7 linked regions of the Canis lupus familiaris genome follow. The protein of the gene in region 6 binds, or shares a complex with, the protein of the main gene of each other region. Links are inferred from orthologs where the notes say so. Each region holds a gene or a part of one and is shown on either strand. Other genes may lie near its edges. The genes, in order: CWC15, CRNKL1, LSM5, SRRM2, RBMX2, SNRNP40 and TXNL4A.

Region 1 (3,655 bases), on a different chromosome or scaffold from region 6:
TTGGACTTTGTCTTATTCTTTTTTCTTTTTTTTTTTAAGATATTTATTTATTCATGAGAGAGGCAGAGACATAGGTAGAGGGAGAAGCAGGCTCCCTGCAGGAAGCCTGATACAAGACTCGATCCCAGGACCCCAAGATCACGACCTGAGTGGAAGGTAGACAGCCCCTGAGCCACCGAGGTGCCCCTGGACTCTGTCTTGAAGGCCATGAAGAGCTAGTTGATTTTAGCAGGAGACAAGATTTGATATGCATTTTATTTTTTTATTATGAAATATTTCAGTAACATAGAAAAATATAAATAATAAATTTAATAGTCATCTACTTGGCTATGCATTTTAGAAGGATAACCCTGGCAGAAGTATAGAGGATTGGGAAAACTGATTGAGGAAGCTGTTCCAATAATCCTCATATGCAATTAAGATAATTTTGCATAATAGAATTGGAATTGAGAGAAGTAAATAGATGCTGAGAGAGTTGTCAAGGAGGTAAAATTGACCAGATAAAGTGACTGGTTAGCTATGGCAACAAAGATGACCCTCAGTTCCTGGGTAGATGTTGTTGACATTAACTAATACAGGGGATGGCAGAAGGATGCACATGTTTAGGTGGAGAGAAAAGAGATGATGAGCTCTGGAACGTGTTGAATTTGACACATTATGAGATACTTAGATGGAGATGTCTGTCTCCACTTTCAAACAGAACAGCTCAGCTTTTTTTTTATGAGCTTCTGTGTAAATTTTCATTTGAACCAAGAATTACTCTGTTTAAAGAGGGGGGAAAGACTGACATGGGTTCATGTGAGGAATCCAGAGAAGTAGAAGATTGCTGGAATTCAAATTGGAAGAATATTTTATTTATTTATTTTTCAAAGAATTTATTTGTCCATTCATGAGAGAAACAGAGAGAGAGGCAGAAACACAGGCAGAGGGAGAAGCAGGCTCCACGCAGAGAGCCCGATGCGGGACTCCATCCTAGGTCTCCAGGATCACACCCTGGGCTGACCCGGCGCCAAACCGCTGAGCCACCCAGGCTGCCCAAGAAGAATATTTTAAATACAATTTCCATCAAAGTTTGGCATTGGATAGCGTGATTCCCATAATAGCTTATAATTGTCATATTTAATTTTTAAAAATCAAAGAATTATAAGAACTTTCCTGATAGTAGATATTACTTGCCCACCACTAGAGGGCAGTTGTATTCCATATTCTTTTGACTTGCCTAACAGCTCTGGATACATAGAGACAAGAAATATAGGTGCATTTGGTTGACCCTTAAAAAGGATAAATATTTTAGACAGAAGGTCTTGGAATTTTGTAAGATTCCTCTACTCTCTTTGTACAAAAATATATTGGTGTTCCTAGGGGTTGAAGGACAGTTTTACTTTGGTTTCTGTTTCCCTGGCTGGTTTTCTAGCGGCTGATTTTTGAAGTGTCCCAATATAACATTTTCAAACCAATTAGCCTGTGTCAGGGGCTAGGAAGCTTTCTGTAAAGGGGGCCAGATGGTAAATATTTCAGGATATTTCTAGCTTGCAGACCATGCAATCTCTAGTGTGGTTCTTTAGTTCTGCTCACTGAAGTGTGGAAGCAACTATAGACAATGCAGAAATGAATGAGTTTACTGTGTTCCACTAAAATTTTGTTAACAACAATGGGGTGGTTTGGATTTCATCTGCAAGCTGATTATAGCCTGTGTTTGTGAACCATAATGTTTCTGGGACTTGAATATGGAAAGAGTTGGCACCTTTTTTTCCCAGTGGTTTATGTGGCAGCCAGCCAGGACTCTAAAGGAAGTAATATTCCAAATATAAAATGGCCAGAACTTTATTATATCACATACATTATTATAAGATGGATACGTTGTATGTTTGAGCTCTTATTTTTTTAGAATCTCAGAGAAATGTCTTTTCACTTTCAATATCAATATAATTTGCAAAAAAATACATTGTTTTTAGAAAGCTATCTGTTCTTAATCTGTGATGGAACACATGTGCCTGATTTTGTTTGCTTAAGGTCTGAGTAGTGACCTAAAGGAATTTACCTGTTTATTTCCCTGATTATTGCATCTTCTCACTTTCCAGTCATTTGGCCTCTTAAAAATGAAATCTGTTGTTCACATTTGGATATTAAAATGAAACATCATTAACCTGTATGGAAAATTTTGAACTTTCTTAGGCTTTGTTTTTTTTCTTTAAGATTTACTTATTTGAGAGAGTGTGTGTGTGAGCAGGGGATGGAGAGAATCCCAAGCAGATTTCCCTCTGAGGGTGGGGCCTGATGCAGGGCTAGATTTCACTGCCCTGAGATCATGACCTGAGCTGAAATCAAGAGTCAGATGCTTAACCAACTTAGCTACCCAGATGCCCCTGTTAGGTTCGTTTTAAATTGGAAGTCCCTGGGGATGCATGGGTGGCTCAGTCAGGTAAGTATCTACCTTCAACTCCAGTCATGAGGCTAGAGTCCTGGGATCAAGCCCCATGTCAGGCTCCTGGCTCAGCGAGAAGCCTGCTTCTCCCTCTCCCTGCTGCTTTGCACACATGCTCTCTCTCTCAAATAAATAAAATCTTTAAAAAAAAATAAATTGAAGGTCTCTTTTTCCTTGATCTATTAAGTCATCAGTTTTCCCCTTCCTAAAATACAATAAAGTGGGATTTATTTTTGGTTTAAGAGAGCATGAACAGGTAGATCTAGCAGTTGCTATGGCTAAGAATTGTAGGCATTTTATGTTTCTAATTCTAAGAATGAAACTGAGGCTGATTTGAGTTTAAAGAAATTAATGCTAAATTAAAAGTAAAGAAAGACAAGCTCATAACTGATGAAGGATGAGAGGTATGAAAATGGAAAGTTAGTAACAAATCATAAGAACAAAATGGATAAACGTGGGGTAGATTAGTAGAAATGCATGTTAACTGAATATAATATTTTACATGATAGTTTTAGCTACTTATGGGCTAATAATAACTTATCACTAGTCCTGGAAGTGCAAATTTACACTGTTAATAATTCAAAATAAAATTATTTTTAATCATAGTTCTATATAGCCCATCTTTAAAAATCAAAGTAATAGCTTTGCTAAATGTGTTTCTTTGATGTTTAACATACCCTTAAATGACTAGAATGTATTATTGATGGACTCTTAAAATAAGCAATTAATTTTGGATGTACTTCAAGAAAGAAAACATTTAAATAGGCATTCATAGAATTTCAGAGTCAGACTAATGAATGTAGACAAGCATGAACTATTTATTATAAGGCCAAATTATTTTGGTAAGTGAAACTTTTCTGGTATTTCTTATATCTTAAAAAACAAAACAATAAACAACCTACCTTGATGCTTATTCCTTCTCCATCATAAAATCCTAACAATCTTTTAAAATTTGAGTTATGAAAGAAGATTGACCCCAGAATTAATGTAAGTAAATGAGTCCTCCTCTGTCATTGACAGGAACAAGAACAGAAAGCTGAAGAAGAAAGAATACGTATGGAAAACATTTTGAGTGGAAACCCTCTCCTTAATCTCACTGGTCCATCCCAGCCACAGGCCAACTTCAAAGTTAAAAGAAGGTACTTTACACAACCCAGTTGGATGTATATTGCAGATTGTGCATTTTATGCCAAACTATTATATAAAGCCTCTAAAAAACCCCTTTTTATT
Region 2 (3,450 bases), on a different chromosome or scaffold from region 6:
GAAGCTCTGTCTAAACCACCATATTGCTGAAATTAAATTGCCGAGGTCCTGACCTATCCTAGGAGCTAAAATCATCCCTTCCCTATTTAAACTTGAGCCACAAGGTGGCGCCAAACCACGGAGAGGCTGGATTTGAGAGCCACTGAACTCACCCAGCCTTTTTTGTTAGTCCTGCCCCAGTGTGAGTTCATTTTGTGGCTTGGGCTGCATAGGCCAGGGCTTTGTGTATTATTGGTTCCGTCGGCTGGCCTCCACTGCTAGGCGTCCAGGCCATGTTTTACTTCATCCTTTTTCTCTGACAAGCAGTACCCAGCAAGTAGGCTGGGTACTCAGACATGAAGGAATTTACAGTGGAGGTAAGAAGAATATATCCTGGCTAATCTAGGCATGTCTTCTGGCAATGTCAAGTTGTATGTGATAGGATCATGGCAGTGTCTAGGAGACTTGGCAGTCTCTGAGCTTTTCTTGGGAAGTCTAGCATTTGAAAAACTCTGAAAGAAAATCCAAAAATGAATCCTGAATCCAAAGCCTTTTATCTCATAATGTAGAATGGTAACCACATTTTGGCCAGCTTGTAAACACCACTGGTTTTATTGTGTCCAGATGCTGCCTGTTCCTTAACTGTTCATAGAAGTTCCTAGGTTCTAGGTGTTCTAGGTTGGAATGGTAGTTAAGCTCAGCTTTGGATAGGGACGTGTTGCTCTTTAAATGTCAAGGCTGATTTATTAAGTTTTCTTTTGTAGGTGCTTTGGAAATCATACATTGATTTTGAAATTGAGCAGGAAGAAACGGAGAGAACACGAAATCTTTACCGAAGATTGCTTCAGCGGACACAGCATGTCAAGGTACCCTGCACTCTGTAGATTATCTCTGATTTTGGTTGAATCAGCAGTCCTGAAGGAAATAACATATTTTTGTATTTTAAGTGTTTCAAGTTTGGTTTGTAATGATTTTCTTGCATTTAGAAAGAGCCTCTGAGTCTCAGAGGACTTTGTGATATAAAGCTTATAGCAGGTCAGTATTTATACTGCATGGGAATAACTTGAATATCATAGGATTGAGTAAAAAGCTAAACTCTTTTCAGGATTTTACGACTATTTCAAACACCTAATTGGTTAGAGAAGCAGACTGATTTCAACATTATTGAAGCATATAATCAATATGTTCTTTGGAATACTATAGATAAACATGTTAGTATGTTCAGATGTCATTAACTAGAATTAGCATTACTACATGACCATTTTCTGGGTGACATGTTAATTTGCTTCTGTAATAATTTTTCTAAAGGTATGGATCAGCTTTGCACAGTTTGAGCTATCATCAAGGAAAGAAGGAAGTTTGGCTAAATGCAGACAGATTTATGAAGAGGCTAACAAAACCATGAGGAACTGTGAAGAAAAGGAAGAGAGACTTATGTTGCTGGAATCATGGCGAAGCTTTGAAGATGAATTTGGAACAGTATCAGATAAAGAAAGAGTAGACAAACTCATGCCAGAGAAAGTCAAAAAGAGAAGAAAGGTCCAGGCTGATGATGGGGTAAGAACTGAGCCTCTGGTGCTGGTCATCTCATGTCAGATGAGCAGAAATGCATCTGACTTTGAAATTTGTACTTTTAAGTGTCATATATGAATCTGAACATGGGAGCAGATAGCCTGGAGTAGGAGATGGTTGCAGTCTGTCTACCGTGGAAACACAGAGCAGAGTATATAGATCACCCAGGGGTGGAGAATGGGAGACAGGTGGCAAAGGTTTCTGGGAGATGGTTGATTCTGGGAGCTATATGAAGCATGATGTTTCTGGAGCATTAAACAGGAGGTCAGAGTGAAGGGAAATGAAACTTAGCTTTTAGGTAGGATCCAAGCCACAGACTTTGTAAGCTATAGGAAGGCCCTTATGCACAAAATAACATGACCCAGTGGTTGGCATCTCCTGCAAGCATACCCAAGGGGCTCAGAGTTGAGGAGGACCTATCGGGGAGGCTATTGTAAGCAAAGCAAGTGATGGTGGAAGCTGGAGCTAGGGTAGTCTTTAGAAAGCCAAATAAGTGACCAATTGGAGGTGGGGCTGTAAGGGCAAGGAGTCAGAATAATAGTGCACAGATTTATGACTTTGGTTACTGAGTATTAAATAAGTCTTTAAAAACTTAAAATCTTAGAAAACTAGATGAAGGTGGACATGGAACATGGGATATCTTGGTTGATGAAAGAGGAGGAGCTGTGCTTTGTGTTTTAGGATCTTTTTCCACTGGTTTTTAGCTCTCAGTGAGCTCCACTTGTAGCAACCCCAACCCCAACAGCTACTGTTTGGGTTTTAATTCAATTAACATCTAGTATATAATTAGTTTCAGAGGTAGAATTTAGTGTTTCATCAGTCTTCTGTAATACCGAGTGCTCATCACATCCCCTGCCCTCCTTAATGTCCATCACCCAACAGCTACTTGTTTAGCCCAATCTTGCAAGCCAGCCCTGGTTCTTCTGAGATGGGCTTTGGTGTGGTTTCGTAAAATGAAAGTAAGTTAAATTTGAAGAACTCTGTGGGTTTCGCGGTGAAAATTCTGCACTTTAACTGCAGTGTATTTCAGTCACGTGTTAGCTTATCTTTTCATTGTTTTTTTTTTTTCCCATAGTCTGATGCAGGCTGGGAAGAGTACTATGATTACATCTTTCCAGAAGATGCTGCCAACCAGCCCAACCTCAAGCTCCTGGCCATGGCCAAACTTTGGAAGAAACAACAACAGGAAAAGGAGGCTGCCGAGCAAGACCCAGATAAGGACATTGATGAGACTGAATCCTGATTTTCTTGTTCATATTGATAAATGTTTTATTATTTTTATAAATTAATCATTTGGAACTCTTGTGACTCTAAGTTTTTTTACACCTCACCAGTAACGAATTGATTGGAGTCTTTGATAGCTACTTTTTGAATTATTTTTAAAATGCTCTTGGGGTAAGTGAGGGGTTGGGGGATTGCAAGTAAATTTTTCTAACTGCTGGATTTATCTGAGTCTAAACATTTTTCTTGGTCCACATCACACATTAGGAAATCTAATTGAGGTAATGCTTTCAGCTATTTTAGATGGACCTACAGACTTTTGAAAGTGGTTTTCTAGCGATGTTCAAGTTACATTCTACAGTAACTTTTAAGGTGGTTTTATCATGCTTTTCTTCATAATGATATATAGAGCACACTCACCTGAGACCTCCAACTTTTCTGAATCTTCAGTCACACAGACTTGAGTTTCATTCCCAGCTCTGCCATTTAGTGATCTATAACTTAACCTTTTAGTTTCTTCACTTACAAAATGGCCTTCTGTCAGTTTGAAGATTACATTAGAAATGGAATAGACCTGGCACATTGTGAGGGCTCAATAAAATGTTCATTTCCAGCCACTTTCCTAAACATGTTCATCCTTGTAGAATTGAAATGTGCTTAATTTCTAAATATCTGTAC
Region 3 (4,155 bases), on a different chromosome or scaffold from region 6:
GATTTTGTTGTCATTATAGGACAAAAGAGAGTAAGGAAATCCATTCATACTTCAGGACCTTCTCCTCCAGGAACTAGCTGCAGAGAAGGAAAAAGAGCTTATTAATACCACCACCACACCCATCATCTAAAAACCCCTTTTCACCCATCAAAGATACCTGGCCTCTTTGCTCCTCCCCCACATTCCCATTTTCTCCAGGTCATTGCTTCTGTTTATAATCCCAACATCGTCAATTAATACTTAGAGTCTAAACAATGATTCTTGGCAAACCAAAAGATTAAAAAGCCCAAGCAAACTAATCTTTAAGCCTATTGTCATGTTCAGTAGCTCAGCTTTAGAGCCCTGATCACAGGAGCATCTCATTCCCAACTTAAACCCACTGGGCCATGAACATTTATTTAACCAAGCCAAGTAATCTGTAATCTCTGCCTCACAAAAATGGGCTACATCTAAAAAAACGCCCAGCTTTACTGTACCTTACCATTGTTATATTATTTCCATTTAGCAAAATTTGATCTAATTTAGTGATCCTTCTTCCTTCTGGTGTGATTTCACTAAATGAAGAAATAAAAGAGTCAAGATAAACAATGATAATCAAAGCCAACATTCTGATCCCTAAAAAAGTTATTCTTATATTATATGAATATGAGGTTGAGCAATTATGTCAGTAGTTTTCAGAGACAAAGGTTATCCACTGGATGACCAAAGGCAACACAGTGAACTGACTGGCCTCAGATCCACATCCACTAGGATCAAAACTAAAAGAAGCTAAAACTGGCCAAAGAGATCAAATATGAAATGGAATGTTTACTAGCCTCACCTTTTTACTATTATTTACTACTAATCCCTTACCCATTAAACCAATCTGTAATCAACTCAATTTTGAAAGCAGACACTGGTTGTGATCTTTAAAACTAATATAATGGAGCTATCATTTATATCTTAAGTTTAATGCCTTGATTTGTCTGAGCACAAACATCCTTGGCTGTTTTTAGTATCTTTTATCTCAAAGCTCAGTCTCCACTAAGTCCCTACCAGTCATTAATAATAACATAATAATTACATCCGGTAATAACTGATCCAATTTTACCAGTGTCAGTAGATAAAATTTCTATCTTTAAGGTATTTCTGACAGGCAATGTTTTCTCATTAATCATTTTAAACTCATTAATACTAAAATTGACTTAAGGAGAGATTCCCCCCAATTCTTTAATTTTTAACACTACTCACAACTCAGTGACATCCTCCAGTACCATATCTGAAATTTGGTGTTAAGAAAAATACATATACCAGGTTGAATTTACTCTGGCTTCTATCTTTACTCCATTTTAATTACAACGTTTAATACAATGGCTCCAGAGCAAAATACTAGTAATCGGTAGGAACTTTATCTTTTTTCAGTACACACACCTCTTAAAACGCTATCAAGAGGTGAATAAATTTCTAATACAATAACCAGTTACGTACTGACTGTCCATATTCTTATTTCTGTTCTTAAGTACTGCAGGAAAACCCATACCACCACCACCTTTTGAAAGGATACTGACAAAGTCATCAAATCCCAAAAGTGTGCCAACAATTTCTTTATCACTCTTCATCACAATGTGAATTCTTGATCCTATACATTTGTCCACGAGCTCTATATATATATATATATATTTTTTTTTTTTAAAGAAAAAAAAAGAGGGGTGGGGGGGTGGAGAAAAAAAGATTATTTTACCTGTTCATTTCTTCAACAAATATTGGAATGCCTACTGGCACTTGTTAGTTACTTACTGTGAAAGATAAACCAGAGAAAGTATTCATTCAAAAACTTTAGAGATTTTACGGTACGTTATCTCTGTTGCATAAACAAAAACGTCCTGTTTACCACTTACCTCTCCTTTGTTGAAGTTTATCCATCACGGTTGTGGTTTAATGTTATTTTAAGTGATTTTGATTAACATACGAAATGCATAATTAATATATAATTAACATCTGAGCCCCCCCCACCCCCTGCAGCCCAGGTGGTTCAGCGGTTTAGCGCCTGCCTGCAGCCCAGGGCGTGATCCTGGGGTCCTAGGATCGAGTCCTGCATCGGGCTCCCTGCATGGAGGCTGCTTCTCCACCTCTCTGGGTGTCTCTCATGAATGAATAAAAATGTTTGTTTGATGTTTTTTTTTAAGAGTCTAAGCCCCATGAAACAACTGTGGTTGTTTTCCCAGGACTCTATCCTCAGTGGGCAATGTCTGGCACATAGCAAGCGTTCAAAAAGAGTTGGTGGAATCAAAGAATGAAAACTTCCAAAACAAGGCCACTTCCGATAACTCCATCAACTCTTTGGCTACAAAATATCGGAAGAGGCACAACCGTATCCACCAGAGATTTCTTCCTGTCACTATCTCTGTGTTCGGACCGCAGTTTGAACGCCTCGTTAGCTGGCTTCGTTATCACTCGGCGTGATGCTTACAGGTGGAGCGCTCTATCTCCTCCTGGTGTGTGTGCTATCCGCAGGCAGTGGGAGGCGTCTGAATTTGTCCAAGAGCGCCCAGCCCTCGTGCCTAGTGCAGAGAGGCTCCCGGGCGGCCCGGGGCCGCAGACACTCGGGAGCCGGCAGACGAGCCGCGGAGCACTGAGGCCCTTCATCCCCACATTTCCCTAACACTCGACCAAGGGCTACTTCAGCCGCAGCCGCCCGGGCCCCAACACTTAGCCTGAGCCCTCCGGTCCCCTTCTCCGCGATTACCTAGAGGCAGCAGCTGCGACGGGTTAGTGGTAGCGTTGGCCGCCATGGCTACGCCGGAAGTGGCCCGCCGGCCTCGCCGTCAGCCCGGCAAGTTTGAAAGAGCGCGCTTCCGCTCCCCCCGCCGGCCCGCGGCCCGGACAGGCTCGACCAATCGGAGGCCGAACTTGCGATCCAATCAGTCCGCAGGAGTCGCTCCTTCCCAATCGCTTCTTTCCCGGGCGCTGAGCTCTCGGGGAGAAGGTTCCGTCCGCTGCAGGTGGTGCGGTCTGGGCACGTAGCGGCTTTCCCCGGGCAGTTTCCGACAGACAGACGCTAAAGGGATCCTGCTTTGTGAATAAATCCTTCCTGCAACCCGGAAGGTTTTGCAAAATACGGAAATCTTTGAATCGTCTTATTTTCTGCTATGAAGTTGCACCTCATCTCAAGCCAGGATCTTTTTTCAGACCGAACCAAAAATTTTTTTTTTTTTTTTTTTTTTTGCCACTAATGCACTGTGTTGCAGTTTTTGTAAAAGCCGTTTTTCAAAGCATCTACTCCTAGAGCGCCCATGTGCCTCAGTGGGTTAAGCCTCAGACTAGATCTCAGCTCAGGTCTTGATCTCAGGATCCGCTGGTTGGGCTCCACGTTGGGTGCGGAGCCTATTTAAAGAAGAGAGAAAAAAGAATCTAGTGCTTCTTTTTAAAGTCCAGTGAATTGAAAACCCACAACCAGCATTTAAAAAGAAAAAAAACCTTCTACAGTGGAAATTTAAAACACATTTTATTTTTATGCCTACTACCTTATCATTCTTACCTTGTTGTAGCTAGGAGTCCAATTTATCACAGACTGTATCCACTTTCAACACTTAACTGTCTTGTCTTATAAGCAGCCACCAGATGTCACTGTCCGCTAATGTCATCACACAGGAAACCTTAAGGCTTTTTGTTTTTTTTTTGTTTTGTTTTGTTTTTTTAAATTTTTATTTATTTATGACAGTCACAGAGAGAGAGAGAGAAGCAGAGACACAGGCAGAGGGAGAAGCAGGCTCCATGCACCGGGAGCCCGACGTGGGATTCGATCCCGGGTATCCAGGATCACGCCCTGGGCCAAAGGCAGGCGCCAAACCGCTGCGCCACCCAGGGATCCCAGGCTTTTTGCACTTCTGTTTTGCAAAGAATAGAAAGCAAACAAATTCTCTGCCTTAAGTCTGTTTCATATTTGTATCCCAGGAACGTAAGGCTGACGAGTCTAAACAGGAGAGAGCAGAAAAAAACATCATTCATTCATACAACAGATAGTTGTAATACACACATCATTCATTCATGGAACAAATATGCATTAGCTACACACTATTTGGCATTTTGCTGAGTATAAAACTGTACAAAACAGAACTACAATGTCTTCTGCCCTTCTAGAAGCTTAAGGATGAATGGAAGAGAAAGCCTACTAAC
Region 4 (3,655 bases), on a different chromosome or scaffold from region 6:
CTAACGCACTTTGGTCTTTCGTATCTGGAGATGATCCAACACCACCTCTTTCCCTTGACGGGGTTTTAGGTGTTTCTCTGAGTACTGGTGAGGAATCAGGCTTATCCTGCACTGGAAGAGGACTCAATTTGTCTCTTGGTATGGGAGACGATGCAGTAAAATCCTCCTGAAGGAGTAAGACTGATTTCTCTTTCAATTCAGAAGGCTCCAATCTACTCTGCCCCAGAAAAGATTTAGAGTCCATTGCAGGATATGGGGAAGAGTCAGATTGGGACTTGCTTTGCTCAGGAGACAGTCCAGATTTTAGCCTAGGACTTGACAATTCCCTTCTTTCTGGTCTTGCTGGAGATTTGGGTGCCAGCTCAGTGATTGGAGAGGAGGACCTGGACCGGCCACCCATAAGAGGTGTCTGAGATTTGCTCTGCAGAGATGGAGACTCAGAATGACTCTGTTTCATTTCTGGGCTTGAAGTATCAGATCTAGGATCTGGTGAAGTTTGAGATTGTCCTTTCTGTTGCAAAGAGGAGGCTGCAAAATACAGCTCTCCTGGTGGTGTGCTAGACTTTATTCCTGGACAGAGAGAGAAGAATCCTGAACTTTGTGCTGGTGAGTCTTTAGACTTCTCTTGGGAACATGGTGATTTTGATTCACTAAGACTGTGCCCTGATGGAGTTTGGGGCTTTACTTTAGGGCATGGCGAAGTAGACCCTGAGTGACTTTGTCTTGGTGGTGTTCCAGGTTTCACTTTGGTATCTGGTGAGGAGGACCTAGAACGGCTCTGTCTTTGCAACAATCTAGATTCCATCTTGGAGCAAGGAGACTCTGATCTGCTTTGCCTTGGCGGTGTTTTAGATGTCACCCTACTAGGACTAGGAGAAGAAGAGCCAGAATGGCTTTGGACTGGTGATGTTATTGCCTTGACTTTGGGTTGTGGAGAGGATGACCCAGATCGGCTCCGTCTCGGAGGTGTGCTAGATTTTACTCTAGGAGGAGAGGACCCGGAGCAGCTATGTCTTGAAGGGGTTGCAGATTTCAGCTCAGGGTCAGGTGATGATTCTGAACGGCTCTGTATTTGTGGTGTTGCAGATTGTTCATTTGCCTGGGGACTTGTTACAGACCCTTGCCTTGGTGGTGTTCCAGACTTCACTTTAGGTTGAGGAGATGAACTGGAACAACTCTGTCTTGATGGTGTCTTAGATTTCTGATTAGAAGGAGGTGAAGAACCAGACCGACTTCGCCTCGGTGGTGTTCTGGACTTAGCTTTTGGTTGGGATGATCCAGAGCGACTGCGCCTTGGTGGTGTCCTAGACTTTTGTTTAGGACATGGAGATGATCCTGAAAGGCTTCGCCTCAAAGACAAGCGAGATTTTGCTTTGGACCGTGGTGAAGAAAGAGACCTACTCCGCCTTGAAGAAATGCGAGACTTTTTCATTTCTGGGCTTGAGTTGGACCTGCTCCTTCTCTGTGACGTCCTGGATTTGTTCTTCCGTTCTGATGATGAACCAGATCTGCCTCTTCTTTGTGGTGTTCTAGAGTGAGATCTTCCTCGTCTAACTACACTTCTACTACGAGATCTTCGTCTTGCAGGTGTCCTAGACCGAGATCGTCCTCGTCTTGCTGGTGTCCTAGACCGAGATCGTCCTCGTCTTGCAGGTGTTCTAGACCGAGATCTCCCTCTTCTGGCTGGGGTTCTAGAGCGTGACCGACCCCGTCTGGCTGGGGTTCTAGAGCGTGACCTGCCACTTCTCCTGGCTGGTGATCTGCTACGAGACCTCCGTCGTACTGGCGACCGGGTCCTAGATCTGCGCCTAGCAGGTGTTCTAGAGCGAGACCTGCCCCGCCGGGCTGGTGTTCTAGAGCGTGACCTACGTCTGGCAGGTGTCCTGGATCGTGACCTCCGCCTGGCAGGTGTTCTAGAGCGAGACCTGGCCCGACGGGCTGGTGTTCTAGAACGTGATCTGCCCCTAGTGGCTGGGGATCTAGAGTGTGACCTGCCTCGCCTTGCTGATCTAGACCTGCCTCTTCTCTGGGTATTTCTGCTTCTAGACCAGCCTGGTCTCTGAGGAGACCTAGAGCGGCCACGTCGCTGGGGACTTCTGGAACGTCCCCACCTCTGTGCAGACCGGGACCTACGCCACTGAGGGGACCGGGACCGAGAATGACCCCTTTTGGTAGGGGTTCGAGACCGAGATCGCCCCCTCTTGGTAGCAGTAGGGCTACGGGACCTCCCCACTCTTCGAGAAGGGGTATGAGAATGTGACTTATCCCGCTTTCCCCGGCCATGTGAGCGACTCTTGGATGCGGGAGAAGAAGAAATCTCTCGGCGGGACCCAGGAGCCGGTGCAGGTTTAGGACTTTCAGGGGAAGAGCTGGCATGTCGAGAAACTTTGGTAGGTTGAGGGGATGGTGGGCAGCTCTCTGAAGAAGACTGGGGAGGTTTCTCAGGAGACTTAGGTAGTGAACGGCCCCTGGTTGGGGAACCCTCAGATGGGGGGTTCACTGGCTCCTGACTTAAGGTGGCTGTTGCAAGGGGTTGTGGGGAGCCGCCATGTTGCTCAGCAAGGAGCGGAGTGGGAGCAGGTGGTTCTGGGCCTGTGCTGCTCCTTTCCGGAGAGGGGCTAGGTCGAATTCCAGATTTCTAAGAGTGGAAAAGAAAGTATGGATAGGAACATAAGCACCAGAACTTCCTATTACCTAAAAGACCCCAAACACCCTTTCCAATGAAATTTTCCTCTCACACACCCCATCACACCAACTGGTCCTTTTCTCACCACAGGCAGTCATTCATTAACGAAAGACCGTATAAAAAGACAGTGGGGAAAACATGAAAATATGGACAGGCTATCACTTTAAAAGTCTTATTATCTAGAAAAAACACAATGTAAACTAACATATGACATTTTCTAACAACCGTAACAAAGTGCCATGGCAACATAAAAAAAAGGCACTTTTATTAAATTGAGAAGCAAAGCAATTTCCCTTAAAGTGGGAGGCATCTAACTTCACCCTTGAAAAAGAATACTGAAATAAAAAACAAAGGCAAAGGTTCGAGGACATGACTTATGTAAATAAGACTACAGTTGGTATAGTTATAAGAGCTTTAAATATAAAAAAAAACATTAAGTTTTTGAAGTGATCCATCCTGTAGTTAGAAAACTTGATGACGTGAAAAAAAGAACAAAGAGCTAAGAATTTAGCAAAAAACTATTTATGGAATTTATGAAGTAAGAAAACATTGTGAATAAGGCTCAATCAGAATACCCATAAAACGACACATACTTAAAGCACAGGTATAGTAGCGTGTTCAAATTGCAGGCAGCAACCCAGTGGGTTGGAAACGAGCATTTAAGGAAATAAAAAAGCCTAGATATCACAGATAGTAAAGCTAAACATAATTTAGAAAAAATAAACTTTTACCCAGACTGTATATAAACACATTAAAGGACAATGACATAAAACCTATCAATAGCCAGCAGTCTGAAAACCAGAATTCTGAAGAATTTGTAAATACAAAAGAGAACTTGATCAAAAAGAACCAAATTCACTTCTTTCCTTCTCTTTAAACATCCATCCTAACCCTGCAACCCAATAAACATCCATTAACTCAGAAACATACCTCCTTCTCTTTATCTTTTTCATGAGGACTGCTAGGCTG
Region 5 (4,169 bases), on a different chromosome or scaffold from region 6:
AACCCTACATCTAAGCAACCTCAGATTCCCAGGAGCAGATAAAACCTGTATGCAATCTGTCACTGTTTAGTTTTCATTGCCAAGATAATTCCATAAAGTTAATGAATAGCTGAGCTGGATGGGGTGGGGGCACAAACACAGAATGAATGAAGGGAAACTTTGATTGGTGGAGAGTCTCCTGCTTTTGTCAGGATGTGGGTACATGATGGGTCATTGAGGGTACAGTTGTCATAATCCCATCATCAAAGTACTTTTATGAAATGCTTAATTTCTGGGGCTCTAAGCTGGGCCTACACAGAGAACTACCCAGCTCTGGAACTTCACTTTTAGACCAGGCATGGTCTGATACCAGTTATTGACATGGACACATATGAGATGGATTCAAAACTTCAATATGGCTTATATCACACTGAAGGTATGCCACCATACCTTCTATGGGTTCCTCATTATTTCTGGAGTGAAATCTACCAAGCAAATATATTTTGTCTCCTTAATGATATCATTAGCTCCAGAGGGCAGAGGACTTCACCTTACATTCCTGTCTACAGATTTTACTGTACAAGACAAATATAGATCCTCAGTAAGGACTGAGTAAGTCAACAAGACCTGATAGGTAGAGGCAGAGGACATCCTTTGAGTTAACTAATTCCTTCGAATCTCAGTTTCTTCCTCGGTACAAGGAAGGTAATTGTATGTATAGACTCCATGGGGTTAGTTATGAGGAGGGAGGGCCAGTACAAGTGAATTGCTTAGCACACAACGTAGCATATGCTTAACTATTAGCTTTCTCATTATTTATTTCTGCCTCCTGCTTAAGTAGGAGCGAGACTATGGGAAAAGGGTGAGCTCTTAGACAAATCTGGGTATTCGATCAGACTGGTTAGTTGCCTATGCATTTGGATTTAAGGGAGAAAAAAATGATTTCCCCTCTCACATACCTTCTTCACTTTTCTGCTGCAATTTCTGATCAGGGATGGTTTGAGGGGTGTGTGTGCGTGAGCGACTGGCTGGGAGTGGAAGCCCGAAAGGGGATTTTCACTGAGGATAGAGCCAGGGACTACAGTTGCTAGAGCAGCACCTTTTTCAATCTCAATTCAGTAAACATTTATAGCTAGCCCAATCAATGCCAGGCGTCCTCCAGCAGCTGAGGGTCCTGTAATAAACCCGCTTCACACCCATGCCGCGTTTCACAGACGGACTAAGCGAGAAGCTAGATAGAGTCCCTGATAGAGCGAAACACGCAGAGCGAGCCAAGGGCCTCTCCGCGCTACTACGCAAGCGCAGCTCCCCAGCGCGCCCGTCTTTCCGGCGTGGCGCAGCGCGAACTCCGCGGAGTCCAATGGGCGCACGGCATCGGCGCTGCGCACGCGCGACACAGACTCACCCGGAAGTTAACGTCTCCGTGCTGAGCGCGAACCTGAGGAGATGAAGTAAGGCCTCAGTTTACCTCTTAAGAAGTAGGGACCGGCCGCGGGAAGTTGCCCACCGGGGCTGGGGTGGTAGAGAGCCTGCGGGGCCGAGGGGTGGGAGAGGCGCGGAGACTGGAGAACTAGCCCTCTAGTTCTGCTCTCCCTTACCTCTGGCCAGGCCGCACTTAACGGCCGCTTTTCCGCCTCTCTCTGCAGCCCTTTAACTAAAGTGAAGCTGATCAACGAGCTGAATGAGCGTGAGGTCCAGCTTGGGGTGGCAGATAAGGTGTCCTGGCACTCTGAGTACAAGGACAGCGCCTGGATCTTCCTGGGTGAGAGTCACATCTTTCTGCACTGCTCATTCTCTCCTGGTGCGCTTCCTAACCTTTCAGCATTCCCGCCTTTCCTTCCTTCTGACGTTCATCACGCACTTAGATTTCTTTCTTCTGGCTGCCCCGTAAATCCGTTTTCTGTATCTCTTTTCTCTTCCATTTCTAGTTTGCTCCTCCTGCCAAGTCAGTGACCATAATAGTTACCTTTGCCGTTCACTGTGGTCCTTGCCACTTGGTTTCAGAGACTGTTATCATACCGCGCCCCCCTGTTACATAGCTGAGGAGGTTAATGGACTTCCTTAAAGTCACATGGGTAATAAGTGGAACAACCAGAACTATGGGATTCTAGAACTGATGATCTTAACCACCATCTTGTATTACTGCTAGCGCCCCCCCCCCCGCCCTTTCTCCTTCCCTCAGAATTCATTTTCCTCATTTACTTAACTTCTGCCTTCTGTCCGTGGCCATATTGTCATCTCTGTATTCACTTGTGTCGCATCCAATAATATGAAAGTTTGGGCAAAGAAGTTATTGCACCAGATATTGTGCTAAGCACTTTATGTCCATTGTTTTATTTAATTCTTACAACAGTTCTGTGAAATAAGTACTAATATCCCCATTTTACAGATGAGGAACGAAAGATTTGCAGGGGAATTTATTTCCTATGAAATGCTGAACAGTTGTCTATAGACAACCAAAGATTCCTTAGTCTATGTGAGGTGGGGTAATATTTTCATATTTAAACTGATTTTGCTGTAATCTTAGCTGTGAGTTTGTGAGTTCCGGGCACCTGGGTGGATCAGTGGTTGAGCGTCTGCCTTTGGCTCAGGTTGTGATTTTGGAGTCCTGGTATTGAGTCCTGCATCAGGCTCCCATTTCTCCCTCAGCCTATGTCTCTGCCTCGCTTTCTGTGTCTCTCATGAATAAATAAATAAAATCTTAAAAAAAAGAGCAGGTGAGTTCAAGATATGTTTGTGGAAACAGAGTTTTATGCTGCAAACTGTCTGCTTTGCAAGGTTTTGGGTGTGGGGAGTATTTGGTTAGTGATGACACTGACCTTTCCACAAAGTTAATCACTCCTTTTGCTGCACTAGTGCCGCACCTTATATATGATTCTGTTAAATCGTCAGACTGTGAGTTCTTTGAGGGCAGGCCCTGTGGCTTACTCTTCTTTGCACCCACATTGCTGGGCCTAGTGCATGGTATGGAGGAGATGCTTGGTAAATGTTTGTGGAACTGAAATGTGGTTTTCTCTCCTAGGAGGGCTTCCTTATGAACTGACTGAAGGGGACATTATCTGTGTGTTCTCACAGTAAGTCCTTTTTCATTTCCTGCCTTCTGGGTCATCAAATTATGCTTGCTTAATACATTTTGTGGCCTCACAAAGTCTATTTGTTTTATTCTAGTCTGACTGGGCTCCCTGCATGGGGAGGGCTGGAGCTTCTGCTCTAGTCTAGATCAGCCCCAGGACATGGTTATAGAGCTCCCAATATGGAAAATCCAAGAAGTTAGATGATTTAGGAGGCTGTCTTGGGGATTCTGGTCTATTTTTATTGCTTTTTAAGTGAGGCTTGTTCAGCCTGTGCCTACACCAGAATAGACTTACTCACAGGAAACTACCATGTTGGACTCCTTGGGCTCCTGCAAACCCAAGGGTAATCCATGATCACAGGGCCCTTCTGGCCTACACCTGTGTGGTGTTGTGGGATTAGGGCAAAGCACAGAGGAATGGGAGAAAAAGCAAAAAGTTTAGGCAGTTTTCTTGTTTCTAGATGGGTATAAGATTAGTAAGCAGAACCGGTCTCTTTACCCAGAAGCTGAGAATTATGGGCTGATGAGGAACAAGGATGAATAGGTGAACCTTATATTCTTCATTCTGCCCATAGATGAAAGCAGCAGCATTGGGTGGGAGAGCATCTTGCACTGGTGGTGGCGGCTGGTGGGAGAGGGGCTGGGCACAACCCAGAGCTACACAGAGTGGTTAGACAGTCCATGGGGCCTTAGGGACCCTGAGGGCAGAGGACTGTGGCAGAAGGATTTGGGGAAGTAAACACTGCCAGCACACTGTGGCGGAGACATTGCCATGTCAGGGGATGGTGGGGCCGTCCAATAGGAAGAGGACCGTGGCTGAGTGGTGGAGCAGCTTATGGAGGAGAGGGCCATGGAAAAGAAATTGGGCAGTACCCATGAGAGGGCCATGAGAGAGGGCTTCGGCAGCCCACTCTGGCTTAGCGCCCAAGAGAGACAGAGGCTGCTTTCTCTGACTTCTGGGCAGCTGGAAGTTTACAGCAGGTGCAGCCTGTAGTTTCCACCCCTTATGATACCTCTGTCTGGTCCAGCCTTCATAGGGGCTGTTTTTGTCTTATTTGCGTTGAGTGATGATCAGCTAGTGTGTTTGCTTATTCTAATTCTCTATTCTGGCTGTACA
Region 6 (3,655 bases):
CTTTGGATGGATCTCAACAAACTAATAATTATCAAGAGTTTAGTACACTGCATGGCTCAACAGCATACCAGAGCTGAAACAGGTCTTAAAAGCTATGTGCAAAGTTGCTTAGGGATTAGATGGCAGATCTGGGACAGGAATCGTGGCTTTTTGACCATATCTTCTAAAGCTTTTTCTATTACCATGTGTTCTCCTAATTGCCCTTGTAGAAACCTGCAAACCACCCTTGACTCTTTCCTTTGATCCACATTATCCCAGTATACATTTCTAAACCCAATGCCCACTTTCCTTGTAGTCTATAGTGACTGGGCCCTTTAAGAGCTTTCCTTTCCAAAGTTACCTGTATTGTCCATTGCATTGGACAAGAGATAAGAGCCTTCAGAACTTAAACTCAGGCCAGTCACTGAATCTGCATGGCCTCTCATGGTGTAGGTTAGCTTGTTTTGGCGCAAGTCCCAGACCTACAAAAAAATAAAAATAAAAAAAAGAGGTACTCCCAGAAATCAAATTGAGAATAGCAAAAAAAAAAAAAAAATATAGTTACTAGTCAACTGCCTTGAGAAACTGGCATCCCTTCTCAATCTGGCTATGGGCCAAGAGAGAAAAAAAAAAAACCTCTTATCTTTTGCAATTTTTTTTTTTTTTAGAGAGAGAGCAAACATGAGAGGGGGGTGGGAGGAGGGGGAGAGGGAAAAAGAGAACCTTAAGCAACCTCCATACCCAGCAGGGAACCTGACATGGGGCTCAATCTCATGACCCTGCGCTCATGGTCTGAGCCGAAATCAAGAGTCGGATGCTTAACCAGCTGAACCCCCAGGTACCCCTCTTGTTTTTCTGAAAAGGGAGTCAAAGTGACTATGTCTGACTAAAGGGCTATAAACTAATGTCAAATATTATAATAAAGTTTAACAAAAATTAAGAATTTACAGGAGTTCTTTTCAAATTATAAATGTATTAAAACTTTAAAAACTAAAATCTTTAAAGATTTATTTTTTTATTCATGAGAGACAGAGAGAGAGAGAGAGTCAGAGACACAGGCAGAGGGAGAAGCAGGCTCCTCGCAGGGAACCCCATGTAAGACTTGATCCTGGGACTCCAGGATTATGCCCTGGGCCAAAGGCAGGCACTAAACTGCTGAGCCACCCAGGGATCCCCAATAAATAAAATCTTTTTTTTTTTTTTAAGATTTTATTTATTTATTCATGAGAGACAGAGAGAGAGAGAGAGAGAGGCAGAGACACAGGCAGAGGGAGAAGCAGGGCTCCATGCAGGGGGCCCAATGTGGGACTTGATCCGGGCTCTCCAGGATCATGACCTGGGCCAAAGGTGGTGCTAAACCACTGAGCCACCCAGGCTGCTCTCCAATAAATAAAATCTTAAAAAAAAAAAAAAAAAAAGCTTAAACTATGCATCTTAGGGATCCCTGGGTGGCTCAGCGGTTTAGCACCTGCCTTTGGTCCAGGGCATGATCCTAGAGTCCCGGGATTGAGTCCCGCATCAGGCTCCTGCATGGAGCCTGCTTCTCTCTCTGCCTCTCTCTGTGTCTCTCATGAATAAATAAATAAAATCTTAAAAAAAAAAAAAAAAAAGTTAAAAAAAAAAACTATGCATCTTAGCAATTAAGACTTAACTTTTAGAATTACAGAAAAATACGTGAACACATCATTTGAAAAGGGCATTATGATGAAACACACATGTATAGAACAAGGCAATACACAGAAATATAGTTGCTTAAAAATTTTCATTAGAAAATGTGGCTAGAAATAACCTAATGTCAAACAGGGAAAATAAATGGTTCATTAAGTTATGGCCCATAAACACACTGCAACACTGTATGACCTTATGCTAGAGATAGTAGAGTGGAAAGGGTAAATTGTAAGACTTATGTGTTATTGGGCCACTAACCCTCCTCTAAGCCTGTTTCAGGTCTGTAAGATGGGGATAACAACATTTACTTCCTATGGCTGTTGAGAAGGTTACAAATAGAAGGCTTAGCAGATGCCTGGTACACAGCAGGCCCTCAATAATTGGTAGCTATTATTAAGCAACTCCTAAAAATAACTCTGAAGACCAAATACAAAAATGTTCCAATAATAAGTTATTAAGCTAATAGGAAGATACAAAACAGTATTTATATTTACATAGACGGAAAGTATATAAAAAATATAAAGGTAATATAAATAGTCTGGAATGTCATATGGAAAAAGAATAGCAATTTTGCTAAGGTCATTGGTATAATATAGAATTTCCTCCAAATCTGATTTAATATTGCTATGTAGTTTTTCTAAGTGAAATTAAATAAATGTTTTTGCTCCCTACTTAAGTAAGGCACTTCTCTTACCTAGAAATGAGTTTGATGTTGATACATAAGCTAGACAACTCCACTTTCCCCATCAATAACTCACTCATGTGTGGAACCCAACAATCATTTTTGTGTCAGGATGTTTGCTGCCTCAATAATCAGGAAAGCTTGAAATGGCTGACGTTTTCTGTTCAAGCTATTGTTCTTCCTCTTCAGAGAAGGCATTGTTGAAGTCTTTAGCTTTTTAGGAGAATATAATGTGCCATCCCTTGTAGCACTTGGACACCATTTTCAAACCTTCCTTCTTGAGGCCTGCACACACTATTGGTGTACAGCCAATGTGTATCTGGGATTTGTTACAGAAAGAACTAATTTAAGCAAGATGTTTTGCAAATGCCCAAATCAGTTGTTCAGTGAATGTTTGGGCATCTGGTTAGTGGGCATCGACTCTGTTTTCATGCTAGAAACAGTATAGAGTAGAAAGTTTTCCCAAGTTTTTGGAGTCTTGTTTACTTTTTTCTTTTTAAGATTTTATTTATTTATTTAGAGACAGAGTGCAAGCATGAGTGTGGGGGAGGGGCAGAGAGAGAGGGCGAAGATGATTTGCCGCTGAGCAGGGAGGCCTGATGTGGGGCTTGATCCCAGGACCACCTGAGCCGAAGGCAGACGCTCAACTGACTGAGCCACACAGGCACCCTACTGTGTACACTCTGATAAAAAAATATTTCCTGAAAACAAAGCACTGGCAGAAAAATATTGGAATGTTTATAGATAAATCAGACTTTTTAGTTTAAAAAGATAAAGACTACAAGGCTATGATGTAAACTTATAAAACATATAGTGTCAAGGCCCATGGCTGGTGCTGTTGGAGAAGCATATGACTCTTGACTTAGGGGTCATGAGTTCAAGCCTCACATTGGGTATAGAGATTATAAAAAATAAACAAACTTAAAAAAAAAAAAGGAAAAGAGAAAAACACAACATATAGGATAAGTAGGAACTATTCACCAAATTATACAAAACTAGAATAAGGGATCTTCTCAAAGAAATATGAAGGTCGGTCATTCATTCATTCATTCATTCATTCATTTTCTAAGTAGGCTCCATACCTAGCATGGAGCCCAATGCAGGGTTTGGATTCATGACCCCGAGATCAAGACCTGAGCTGAGATGAGGAGTCAGTCAACTGACTGAGCCACACAGGCACTCCTAAAGAATATCCTTTTATAAAAAAGCTAATGATATATGTAATTATTGTACTTATGGAACTTTATTTACACATTCTCTATATATGAGATAAATTTGGCCTTCAGAACAAAACTGGCATGACTGAGATTAGCTACCTGTAGAAAC
Region 7 (4,418 bases), on a different chromosome or scaffold from region 6:
CTGTAAAATCATTAAGCTTACCTCCCATGTTTTCAGGGCAGCTCAAAACTAATACAGCATGAGGTGGTGGCCTCATGATGGTTGGCACCATCAAAGCATCAAGTCAACACACCACATTCCCGGAGAAACAATCTAATCAAGTCCAGCCTAAACGGTGGAACTTTTACTCACTTTAAAACAGCTGGGGTATCCAAACAGGGCTCGAGACAGGATGAGGAAGATCCCCCACTATCTGCCATTTCTGCAGAGGGAGATTTTTAGATAGTTAAGTTGTTCTTTATACTAAAACTTTAAATTTCAAAAATTCCTGTTGAGCTCAAGAAGGACTTCCAGAATTATAAACTCATGTTTTGCCTTTACACAGAAGAAAATAAAACAATTATCTTGTGATGAGTTTCAAGTTTGCATTTCTAATAACTGTACTATATAATATTAAAAGTTTATTAAAACAGAAATCCAAATTTTTGGACCAAAGAAAAAGTACCTTAAAGATAAAACAAAGACAAATACTCAAAGTGAGCCCAACTAAACTGTTCTTATCAGTAGGTTCGATCCCAGAGTGCGTTCCTCAGTGATCCCGCAGTCCAGCCTACAGCTGACACACAGGGATGGGAAAAGAACAAACAACTTGCTGAAAGTCCCTAAGAGCTCAGGTTAACACAAAATCTGTCTCCCAAAGAAGAGCGTCTTGCTGGGTTTTGCCTGGGTATGAAGAGCCAAAGGAGCCTCCCGTCTCTAACCATCCTGACCCTGCACCGAGGGCAGCAGGAGCTGGTCACCACCTGGTGTTTATGCCCCCACATGCCCCGCACAATTCAGAACACACACCCTACGTTATTTCAAGGTCAACAGAGCAGCAATGGTGTTTCTCAGGAAAGTGCTTGGAGGTGGTTCTTCACTGACCACAGCAGTGTCTGCTTTTGACGCGACAAACTGGCGCCGCAGCTCTCCCGAGCTCCCCAGGCACCTCCTCAGGCTCCCCAAGAAGAGAAAGGGAACGGCCAGTCTCCCAGCACCCTTACTCTGATCCCGAACTCTGCCAAGTGGTTTTTGGAAGCCACTTCAGAATTCCCAGGGCAGCTTTTGGGCAGAGCTGTGTGTGGACCTCACCCCAGACCTGCAGAACGAGAACCTCGGAGGTGCACCTGAGCAAGTCTTCCAAGCGATCCTCACGTGACTGACCGGAAAGACGGCCTCCACAGTTCCACGGTTCCCAGTGCTACCACCCGGCCTCGCTTGGCTTCTCCCGCCACACAGGAGATCAGAAAAAGTAGCAGTGGAAGGTCAGATAGTTGTTAGTGAACTAACCTCAATGTGGGGTCCTGCTCTGACCCCCGAGACTTCGCCTTTCCCAGACACATCTGTCCCTACACCTGTTACCATGTACTGAGCTATCTTAAGCCCTTCTTCCTCTGAAAGAAATCATGGCTTTAATGTTTCCATTACTCTTGACCTCTCCTTATTTACGGAATATCAGTAAGTAATCTATGAATTGGCTACAACTACACATCCAAATGAAAGTTCTCCTGAAATGAGCCCACAGAGCCCACAGGAGAGCACCAGGTGCTGCTGGTTCTGGAACTGCCAACAGAGCCTCCGACAAGCCAGGGTGCCAGCATGGTGACCCAGACTGGGTCCAACCAGGCAAGTCTCCCAGAGCACGTCTGAGCTAGGAGTGCACTTAGGGCACAAAGACCGGGATGGAGAACAGGCTTTCCTTCCCCTGACAGGCACGACTGCCTCCCACACACAGGGAGCAAAGCACCAAAAACTGGCAATCCTGTGCAGCTACCTGGCTAAAATGGCGTTCCACGAAGTCCCTAGGTGTGCTGCTCCCAGCTCCGTGGAGGTGGCACCATGAACCCCTTCAAAACCTGGAGACCAGGGACACACTGCTCCCACGGAAGGACCGTAGCCTCGGGGCACAGGGTCAGGCCCCCTGAGCCCGCCGCACCCTACCCTCTGAGGCCTGGAGCCTCCACGCGGGGGTCAGGCCCTTGGACCCTGCTGCGCCTCTGCAGCCTGGAGGAAGAGGAGGACCTGCACGCGGTCACCTCACTCCAACCCTGCAGCCACCTAGCAAACGGGGCAAACCAAAGACCACAGCTTCCTAGGCTGACGCTGGGCGGGGGGCTGTGTTACCTTCTCCGCGATGCTGTACAGCACCTCGTCCATCTTCATACACGTGGGGTCCCAGTCGTGTCCAAAGCGGATGACGACCACGCGGTCCTCCTCCGACAGGATGGCCTGATCCACCTGCCAGCCGTTGTGCAGGTGTGGGAGCATGTACGACATCTCGGGGCGGCTCCGGGTACACCTGCGGGCACACCTGCGGGAACTGTGCGCACCGGCTCCTTGCGGCCGACTGCGGGCAAGGGCTGCACGTCGCACCCGCCCGCGCCCCTGGGTCCCACAGCAGACCTCACCCCCCCGACCCCTGGAAGAGGGACGGCACTGAGGGGACGCCCTGCAGACCCAGTCCCCGGTGCGGAGGCCCCGGGGTCGCCCCCATCCGTGCCCCTCGGTCCCGCCGCGGGGAGGGCCTGGGACCCCCGCAGACCTTGCCCCCGGCCCCCGGCCCCGGCCCCGGCCCCTGTCAAGCTCTACCCCTGGAAGGAGAACGGGGCCGCGAGGACGCCCCGCAGACGCCAGCCCCTGCCTCCCTCGCCCCCGCTCCCCGCTCCGTCCGCCCGCACCTCAGCCGACCGCAGCCTCCCGCGCGGCAGCCCTTCCCGGCGGGGACGCGAGCCGGTCGGTGCGTGCGCGTGGCCGCCGACGCGAGCGTGAGCGTGCGCGTGGCCGCCGACGCGAGCGTGAGCGTGAGCGTGCGCGTGGCCGCCCGACGTAAGCGTGAGCGTGCGCGTGCGCGTGCGCGTGGCCGCCCGACGTAAGCGTGAGCGTGCGCGTGCGCGTGCGCGTGCGCGTGGCCGCCGACGAGGGGCCGCGCGCGCCCGGCGCCGGGAGGGAGGGACACCGAGCCGGGGCTCCCGTGTGCGCCCGGGCGGTGCGGCCGGTGGCCCCCGGACCCCGCGGGGTCGGTCTCCTGAGGTGTCGCCGCGGTCACGGGGGGCCCGGCTTTGCCGCCTGATTCTCAGCCCCAGTCAGGCCCCTCGGAGCGACCCAGCTTCTCCGCGGCGCCCCCGTGCCCTGGGGGTGTGACGAGGGCAGCCGGCCGAGCGGAGCTGCGAGGTGCGGTTCGGGTCCCGGCGGGGAGCAGCGCTGGGAGCCGGGGGACGGGGCCGGCACACGGGACAGGCCGAGGACCGTGACGTGACGGGCTGGGGAAGGCCCGTCCTGCTCACCGCACAGCCGTCCCCGGGGCGGTCAGGGCAGACTAGGCCCCGCTGTGCGGTCGCCGCGTCAGCAGAAGACCAGCTAAGGTGTGGGTCACCGTGTGAAACACGCACGGCCCTTGTCGCCCGTCGCCCCGTCCGCCTCCGGGCGCGTCCTTTTTGTCAAGAAGCTGACGGAGGATCCCCCACGTCCTGTGGGGTCCTCGCGCTGCAGCCCCGGGGGGTCGTAGAAGCGCCACTGCGGTCTCCGTTGGGGCAGCTCCCGTCCTGCTGGGGGGAGGCCCGAGCGCGGTCGGCTGGTCGTCCCCACTCCCCGCGGTCCCTGAGCCCCGGCGACCGCGGACTCCCGCCCGCCTCCCTGCCCCCGCCTGCCCCGGGCAGTTCGTGCGAGCGGAGACCGACCGGGACATCGCCCGGGACTGCCTTCTCCAGGCCGCGCTGTCCGCGGGCGTCAGGATTCGGTCCTCGGTGCTGGTTACCACTTCATCATACGCATGTGTGCATTTTTTTATTTTTATTTTTTATACATTTATTTTTTGTTGGTGTTCAATTTGTCGACATCTAGAATAACACCCCGTGCCCGTCCCGTCAGGTGCCCCCTCAGGGCCCGTCACCCAGTGTGTGCATTTCATTTATCCATCGTCTGACATTTGGCTGTTTCCACTTTCTGGCCGTCGTGCATATGCTGCTGTGAACATCTGGATTTGTGTTTGTGTGGACTTAGGTTTTCGCTTCCCTAAGAGTATATGAGTGGAAAGCCGGGGTCACGCGATAACCGTGTTTAACATTTTATGGAATACGAACTGTTTTCAAGAATGGCTGCAGCTTTATTGTATTTATTCAAGAGAGCACGTGCATGCCCCCAAGTCGTAGGGTAGGGGAGCGGCGGAGGGGTGGGGCGGGGAGGCGGGGCAGGGGAAGCCGGCTTCCCACCGAGCAGGCCCTGCGGGGACTCCAAACCCCGGACCCAGAGACCGCGACCTGAGCTTAGCCAAAAGGCGGAAGGCGGACGTTGACCTACTGAGCCACCCAGATGCCTCGTGGCTACACCTTCTAACATTCCCAACAGCAAAGCGTGAGAGGTTTGATCCCTCCACATCTTTGCCTACACTTGTTATTTGTGTA

Evidence for each region.
Region 1: SNRNP40 (region 6) and CWC15 share a complex: the UniProt entries of both Homo sapiens proteins name them as parts of the minor spliceosome. The link is inferred for Canis lupus familiaris from reciprocal best matches to the Homo sapiens genes SNRNP40 and CWC15.
Region 2: SNRNP40 (region 6) and CRNKL1 share a complex: the UniProt entries of both Homo sapiens proteins name them as parts of the minor spliceosome. The link is inferred for Canis lupus familiaris from reciprocal best matches to the Homo sapiens genes SNRNP40 and CRNKL1.
Region 3: SNRNP40 (region 6) and LSM5 share a complex: the UniProt entries of both Homo sapiens proteins name them as parts of the U4/U6-U5 tri-snRNP complex. The link is inferred for Canis lupus familiaris from reciprocal best matches to the Homo sapiens genes SNRNP40 and LSM5.
Region 4: SNRNP40 (region 6) and SRRM2 share a complex: the UniProt entries of both Homo sapiens proteins name them as parts of the minor spliceosome. The link is inferred for Canis lupus familiaris from reciprocal best matches to the Homo sapiens genes SNRNP40 and SRRM2.
Region 5: SNRNP40 (region 6) and RBMX2 share a complex: the UniProt entries of both Homo sapiens proteins name them as parts of the minor spliceosome. The link is inferred for Canis lupus familiaris from reciprocal best matches to the Homo sapiens genes SNRNP40 and RBMX2.
Region 7: SNRNP40 (region 6) and TXNL4A share a complex: the UniProt entries of both Homo sapiens proteins name them as parts of the U4/U6-U5 tri-snRNP complex. The link is inferred for Canis lupus familiaris from reciprocal best matches to the Homo sapiens genes SNRNP40 and TXNL4A.

What each region holds. Positions count from the first base shown.
Region 1 is NC_049242.1:6,122,894-6,126,548, forward strand, and holds part of CWC15 (spliceosome-associated protein CWC15 homolog), read left to right. Parts: intron 1-3,445; coding exon 3,446-3,564; intron 3,565-3,655. UniProt on the Homo sapiens protein: Involved in pre-mRNA splicing as component of the spliceosome. Component of the PRP19-CDC5L complex that forms an integral part of the spliceosome and is required for activating pre-mRNA splicing.
Region 2 is NC_049245.1:3,693,032-3,696,481, forward strand, and holds the end of CRNKL1 (crooked neck-like protein 1), read left to right. Parts: intron 1-743; coding exon 744-845; intron 846-1,287; coding exon 1,288-1,536; intron 1,537-2,626; coding exon 2,627-2,794; 3' UTR 2,795-2,852; downstream 2,853-3,450. UniProt on the Homo sapiens protein: Involved in pre-mRNA splicing process. As a component of the minor spliceosome, involved in the splicing of U12-type introns in pre-mRNAs.
Region 3 is NC_049235.1:44,955,622-44,959,776, forward strand, and holds the start of LSM5 (U6 snRNA-associated Sm-like protein LSm5), read right to left. Parts: upstream 2,884-4,155; 5' UTR 2,772-2,883; coding exon 2,726-2,771; intron 1,640-2,725; coding exon 1,544-1,639; intron 1,259-1,543; coding exon 1,231-1,258; intron 555-1,230; coding exon 482-554; intron 78-481; coding exon 45-77; 3' UTR 1-44. UniProt on the Homo sapiens protein: Plays a role in pre-mRNA splicing as component of the U4/U6-U5 tri-snRNP complex that is involved in spliceosome assembly, and as component of the precatalytic spliceosome (spliceosome B complex).
Region 4 is NC_049227.1:38,744,282-38,747,936, reverse strand, and holds part of SRRM2 (serine/arginine repetitive matrix protein 2), read right to left. Parts: coding exon 3,617-3,655; intron 2,639-3,616; coding exon 1-2,638. UniProt on the Homo sapiens protein: Required for pre-mRNA splicing as component of the spliceosome. As a component of the minor spliceosome, involved in the splicing of U12-type introns in pre-mRNAs.
Region 5 is NC_049260.1:102,430,642-102,434,810, forward strand, and holds the start of RBMX2 (RNA-binding motif protein, X-linked 2), read left to right. Parts: upstream 1-1,296; 5' UTR 1,297-1,425; coding exon 1,426-1,430; intron 1,431-1,625; coding exon 1,626-1,741; intron 1,742-3,001; coding exon 3,002-3,053; intron 3,054-4,169. UniProt on the Homo sapiens protein: Involved in pre-mRNA splicing as component of the activated spliceosome. As a component of the minor spliceosome, involved in the splicing of U12-type introns in pre-mRNAs.
Region 6 is NC_049223.1:69,144,963-69,148,617, reverse strand, and holds part of SNRNP40 (U5 small nuclear ribonucleoprotein 40 kDa protein), read right to left. Parts: intron 462-3,655; coding exon 341-461; intron 1-340. UniProt on the Homo sapiens protein: Required for pre-mRNA splicing as component of the activated spliceosome. Component of the U5 small nuclear ribonucleoprotein (snRNP) complex and the U4/U6-U5 tri-snRNP complex, building blocks of the spliceosome.
Region 7 is NC_049222.1:688,106-692,523, reverse strand, and holds the start of TXNL4A (thioredoxin-like protein 4A), read right to left. Parts: upstream 2,809-4,418; 5' UTR 2,697-2,808; intron 2,339-2,696; exon of another isoform or gene 2,330-2,338; 5' UTR 2,296-2,329; coding exon 2,143-2,295; intron 242-2,142; exon of another isoform or gene 172-241; intron 1-171. UniProt on the Homo sapiens protein: Plays a role in pre-mRNA splicing as component of the U5 snRNP and U4/U6-U5 tri-snRNP complexes that are involved in spliceosome assembly, and as component of the precatalytic spliceosome (spliceosome B complex).